Linked DNA regions of Cricetulus griseus. The protein of the gene in region 1 purifies or fractionates together with the protein of each later gene. This does not show direct contact. Links are inferred from orthologs where the notes say so. Each region holds a gene or a part of one and is shown in the gene's direction. Other genes may lie near its edges.

Region 1 (2,731 bases):
TAAGCATATTTTATGCAACACAACTGTGAATAACTGGACAGCTGAGATGGCTCAGCTGGCAAAAGCACTTGCCAATCAAGCCTGATGACCCGAGTTCACTCCCCAGAACACACACCAAGGTGGAAGCAGAGAACCAACTCCTGAAAACGGCCCTCCTCTGACCTCCACATTCGTGCTGTGGCTCACACACACGCAATAATAATAAACAGAATTAGAGGGTTTTATTACGTTTACTTCATCATTTAGGTGTGTGCTTGCACATGCATGTGGGCGCCTATGTGCCACAGCACGTATGAGGGGGTCAGGGACAGCTTTCAGGAGTCCGTTCTCTCCTCCCACTGAGTGAGTCCCAGGGATCAAATTCAAGTTGTCAGGAATCTCACTGGCCCTTAAAGTATCGTTTTAAAAAGAGAACAGTTATTTTTAAAACTATGACTGATTTATTGTGACCTAATTTCCAATCCTTATTCTCATTTTCCCACTTCTCCCAAGAATGACTTCAAAAAAAAAAAAAAAAAACCCAAATCCAAATGAAGTTCATGTTTCTCATTTCTTCATTTGTCCTTGAAGTCTGTTTAAACCTAAGCCTGTACCCTTTCCTTTCATTTTTATGGCACAGGTCACTAGAAAAGTCTGAATTAATTTTCCTATATCTTACCTTCAAGGACATAGAGATAGCTTGGCAGACAAAGACGCTTACAGATAAGCCTGGTGACCTGAGTTCAATCCCGGGGACCCACATCGTAGGAGAGAATTGACACCTGAAAATTGTCCTCTGATCTCCATACATGTATGTGCTGTGGCACTACAGTGTGCATGCACACGTGCGCACACACACACACACACACACACACACACACACACACACGCGCGCGCGCGCCACACACACAACACACACACACACACCACACACACGCGCGCACACACACACACGCACACACACACACACATATACACACACGCTAACAAATATAGTTTAAAAAGTTAAGAAAAAAAATCCCATGTCCAGATTTGTCCATTTGCCTCCTGGAGGTGGCCGTGCCTCGGTCCCCTGTTCCTGTTTCCTGTGAGCCAGGAATTGAACCTAAATGACATATATCTGTACACTATGAGGCTGGCATATTTCACAGGTGATGCCATGTTCTCCCTGCAGCTCACAGGAGCCTGACGTCAGGCATCTCAATGATGATGCTAAGCCTAGGTAGGGGCAGCAAGATGCCCTATGACTAAGCCAAGCAGCCTGGGGGGACTATCCAGGAACTAGTTTCAAAAGCTGTCCCCATGTACCCTGAAGAACACCCTGGTTCTGAGCTGTGCTCTTTTCTGTCTTTTTTTTTTTTTCCATTCTCTGCTGCAGGTCAGGTCGTGGGCCTCTACTCCCGCTTTGATGTCATTGTAAGTGTTTGTAGGGACTGGGGGTGCTACAGGGAGGCTACAGTATGAGGATCAATCTGTTGCTACCTTTTGCAAGCGTGTCAGAGTGCAATCTCCAGGCTACAGCCTAGGTAATGAGGTAATCCATGACTCCCTTCCCCTTGCCCCAGCACCTGGCTGCCCAGCAAACCTACAACCACCTAGACATGAGTGTGGGAGAAGCTTTGAGGCAGAGGACACTGTGTCTGGAGGGGGTTCTCTCCTGCCAGCCCCATGAGAGCTTGGGTGAAGTCATTGACAGGATTGCTCGGGAACAGGTACCTTGCACCCCTCCCGGCATGCCCTCAACATAGATGGCCTAGTTCTTTGCATAGCTTGTATACTGGGCACTTGACCTGTCTTCCCTTTCATGACCAACTTTTGGCATCTGCATTGGGAGGTGTCTGGTCCTGTGCATAGGGCCCCTGTGCCAAGATCCACAGCCAGCTGAGTGCTCAAAGCCATCACCAGCTGTTCCCAGGAGATGTCCTTTGCTTCTTGATCTGTGTTAAGCTTTCCCCTTATTAGCTGCTATAGCCAAAGGTACTGCCCCTCCCTGAACACTGTGGACCCACAGGTGCACAGGCTGGTGTTGGTGGATGAGACCCAGCATCTTCTGGGCGTGGTCTCCCTCTCTGACATACTTCAAGCACTGGTACTCAGCCCTGCTGGCATCGATGCCCTCAGTGCCTGAGAGCTCCCGAGTCCTCACTCCCGAGTCATCTTCCTCACCTGAAAACCAATGAAAGGATCTAGGGGAAATTGGCCTTCATCTTCTCCCACCCCCTTTTGCTGGTTCTGCTCTGGTACAGGTAGGCTCTGCTGTGAGCTGTAGGGCTAGTCCCTCAGGCTTTCTGAGCTCCTGATCTCAAGTTAGGGTACCCTGAGGATGGCAGTGGCACCAGCTATCACTGAGCAACCTCATAGAAACTGTCAACAAAGCCTTTTCAAACCACTACTTTGTCCCATCTCCAGCTGAGGTTGTGGAGGTCCTGCTGGAAGGGATGGATGGAGGCAGGGCATCCTGAGCTCTGGGAAGGTATAGCTGCCTTCTCTCCATTCTCTTCCCACTGGGAATTTCTTGAGAATAAAGCAAGCTAACAACCTTTTGTTGAATGCATTTCTATTATCAGCATTGACTAATATGGGAGGGAATTTCCATTTACTGCTTATTTCAATGAATTTGTCAAATTGTGGACTGTCCTGGTACCATGCTTGGTTGGGGGGCATTGCCAAAGGATGGGGCAGAAATTCCATCCAGTTGGCAGTAGGGTGAGATTCCTGTTGGGAGGGCACCTCCTCTTCCCGATTTGGTCAC
Region 2 (3,659 bases), about 380 Mb from region 1:
CCTCCAGCCTTTGAATGTGGTTCTGTGTTTGTTATCTCCACTTCTCTAATAGGCAGTTGATAACCCTGCCTTTGCTTTCATTTCCTTCTTGTGCAGAGCCTCAAAGCCACCCAGTGATGACAAATTAGGGTCTTTTCAGTTTTTTCCTGGGCACATATCTGGCCTTTGTGAGTCTCAGGAATAAGGGAAAACTTCTCAGACCTTTTGCACTCTTTATTTTCTTACCTAACTTTATAGGTGAGGTTCTTGTTACACAGCTCTCGTTACTGCTTCACACACCTGGAATATTAAACAGTGGCCACTGGTTTTGTTTGTTTGTTTTTTAAACAAATAGTCTGGTGGCTTTCAGTAAGTGAGCTGTAAGTCACATCAGAGATAAAGTTGTGCGTGGAAATATGCAGGGAATTGCTCGATGTCTTAGGCTTTCTATTGCAGCACTATTGTGTCCAAAATCAACTTGGGGAGGAAAGGACTAATTTCATTCTATACTTCCAGGTGACTGTCCATTACTGAGGGAAATCAGAGAAGGAACTCAAGTAAGGCAGGAGGCTTCGAGGAGTGCTCCTTACTGGCTTGCCTCTCATGACTTACTCAGCCTGCTTTCTTTTTGTTTTTGTTTTTCTTTCTTTATAATAATTTAATTTTTTTTTTTAGTTTTTTTTAGTCTCCTCCTCCTCCTCCTCCTCCTTCTTCTTCTTTTTTTTTTTTTTGGTTTTTCAAGACAGGGTTTCTCTGTGGCTTTGGAGGCTGTCCTGGAACTAGCTCTTGTAGACCAGGCTGGTCTTGAACTCACAGAGTACTGGAGTACTGGGATTAAGGGTGTGTGCCACCACCGCCCAACTCAGCCTGATTTCTTATACAATTTAGGACCACCTGCCCAGTGTGGTACCACTCACAATGGGCTGGGCCCTCCCACATCAGTCATTAGTCCAGAAAATGCCCACAGACTTGCCTGTAGACCAGTCTTATGTATACATTTTCTCAAATGGCATTCGCTCTTCTCAGATATGTCTAAATTTGTGACGAAAAACAACCAGCACACTAGATGTCAAAGAGTGGTTGTTTTCGTGGGTTGGAACTTGTAGGGAGCTCCAGTACTCTGTTTCTCCATCCTTGTTACTGCAGTGATTTTTCTCAGTCGTGTGATTGTGAGGCTCATAAATTTTAAGGCTTCTGGGAAGCTGATAAAATAGAGCTGCTTAAAAATGCCAGCTTAAAAACCCAAGCCTCACTTTTCTACTGAAGGTCAGTCAGCATTTAAACAAAATTCCCCAGATTATTACAGACTTTTGGGAAACTTCTGTAGTTATAAAAAGTTATTTTGAACATTTTTGCTACAACTCTCCACAATACCTGATTTCTTTTACCACTCCATCCTGTGTCCCAGGGTGATATTGGACCACAGCAGTTCTTGTAACATGACAAAACCCTTTGTTGTCTCAAGACTTAACAGATATTGTTTCTTTTGCTGCAGCATCTTTTTCTACATATTGTTTAGCTGACTTCTGAGTGTTCTGGTGTGTGCTTAAATGTTAACTTGAGTGGCTTCCCTCCTCGGCCTCCCATTCTGAACCATAGGCTCTTGTTTATTGTTTTCTACTCCCAGGTTTTATCAGAATATTTGTGTATTTGTAGTCATTTATATTTTAAAACCTGTTTATATCCACCTGGTATATAATCTCTGAGGACTATTTGATAGTAGTCAGAACATCAGACACAAAGGTCCAGAAAGTTAGAGGAAATGAGATTAGGAGAGCAGTCTGCAAAAAGTTTAGTTTTAGTATCTTTTTATACTCTTGTTGTTGAGGACCTAAATTATTTTTAGTGAATGATATACCAATAGTTAGCATATAATAATTAAATTTAGAATTGAATTTACTTAAAAATATGTTCATTTAAATGTTTTAATCAAACAAATAACCTAAGAATTTGACCTAAGAGACTTGAACTTCCTAGGCAAATACTCTACCACTGACTTACATCTCTGGTCCCCTCCCCTATCTCCTTTTACATTTTATTTGATATAAGGTCTCACTAAATTAGACAGGATGGTTTGTAATTTTTTTTGTAGCGGAATCAAGCCTTGAACTTGAGATTCTCCTGAATCAGCCTTCTGAATTACTAGGATAATAAGTGTACACCACCAAGCCTTATAGTAATCTCTATTATGAAAGTGTTCCCAAAACATTGTAAAAAGCATCATCTTACACTTTTATGAATGTCCTCAGTGTCTAGTTTAATCAAACACAGGCTAGAATCTCAGTGTACTTCTTCATTTAATCTTGAACCTTTATTTATTTGTTTGTTTGTTTTTTAAGATAGGGTTTCTCTGAGTAACAGCCCTGGCAGGCCTGGAACTCACTTTGTAGACCAGACTGGCCTCAAACTCACAGAGATCCACCTGCCTATGCCTCCCAAGTGCTGGGATTAAAGGCATACACCACCACCACACAGCTAATCTTACAATATTTTACATTAGTTGAAGTTCCTGAGGAAAATCTGAACTCTGGTAAGTGGCTGAAAAATAAAGGATTTTTTAATAGCCACTCAGATAATAGTGATATTCTTTGATACTAAAACAAAGCTTTACGTACTAGCTTATAGTTTGCAATATCAAATGAGAAAAAATTAATTAACTTTTGTATTTTGCCACACTATAATAATATATTTTAAATTTTAAGGGACTCTCTTATGCATGTGTAATTCTGTCACACCATTGGGAAATCTTGCATTATTGAAATATACAAATTTCCCAAATTTCATTTTATGCTATCAAAAATCATATTCATTATTATCAATACTAGCTTCACCAGAACATCTTCAGGTCTTGAGAAACCATCAAACCCCAGGGAACAGGTACCAATTACTATCCACCATCTGAAATTTTTCTTGGGAACTTAGATTCTACCATTGACCACAAATATTGTTAGTTGTTTTCCTTGAAGTTATAGACCCACTTAGTTCATTTTCAAGGAAATCTCTCAAGTCTGAATATATTTTTTTTAAGGATAGAAATTAGTTAACTGGCCCCAGGGTCACATAGCCAATAGCAGCAGAACTGGAATTAGAGAGCAGTATTTTAGAGTCTTTATGTTGTATTGCCCCATGTCTAAATTATTTGGGACTGACTAAAGCATGTTCTTATAATAGTGTGTATGGTGTTTTTCCTAGAGAACATGAATGGTTTAAACAGGATTTGCCCAGTTATCTATTTCCTGAAGACCCCTCCTATGATGCTAACGTCATTGATGATGAGGCTGTGAAAGAAGTATGTGAAAAATTTGAGTGTACAGAATCAGAAGTAATGAACAGTTTATATAGCGGTGATCCTCAAGACCAGCTTGCAGTGGCGTATCATCTTATCATTGACAATCGGAGAATAATGAACCAAGCCAGTGAGTTCTACCTCGCCTCTAGTCCTCCAACTGGTTCTTTTATGGATGATAGTGCCATGCATATCCCCCCAGGCCTGAAACCACATCCTGAAAGGATGCCACCTCTTATAGCAGACAGCCCCAAAGCACGGTGTCCATTGGATGCACTGAACACAACTAAGCCCAAATCTTTAGCTGTGAAAAAAGCCAAGTGGCATCTTGGAATCCGAAGCCAGAGCAAACCGTATGACATTATGGCCGAAGTGTACCGAGCTATGAAGCAGC

What was found.
Region 2: the proteins of Prkag3 (region 1) and Prkaa2 purify together in Homo sapiens (affinity purification with mass spectrometry; 3 studies listed by BioGRID and IntAct, counting the BioPlex papers as one, with this or other methods). This does not show direct contact. The link is inferred for Cricetulus griseus from reciprocal best matches to the Homo sapiens genes PRKAG3 and PRKAA2.

Annotation. Positions count from the first base shown.
Region 1 is NC_048595.1:427,972,757-427,975,487, reverse strand, and holds the end of Prkag3 (5'-AMP-activated protein kinase subunit gamma-3), read left to right. Parts: intron 1-1,357; coding exon 1,358-1,395; intron 1,396-1,544; coding exon 1,545-1,691; intron 1,692-1,990; coding exon 1,991-2,107; downstream 2,108-2,731. UniProt on the Homo sapiens protein: AMP/ATP-binding subunit of AMP-activated protein kinase (AMPK), an energy sensor protein kinase that plays a key role in regulating cellular energy metabolism.
Region 2 is NC_048595.1:44,806,091-44,809,749, forward strand, and holds part of Prkaa2 (5'-AMP-activated protein kinase catalytic subunit alpha-2), read left to right. Parts: intron 1-3,171; coding exon 3,172-3,659. UniProt on the Homo sapiens protein: Catalytic subunit of AMP-activated protein kinase (AMPK), an energy sensor protein kinase that plays a key role in regulating cellular energy metabolism.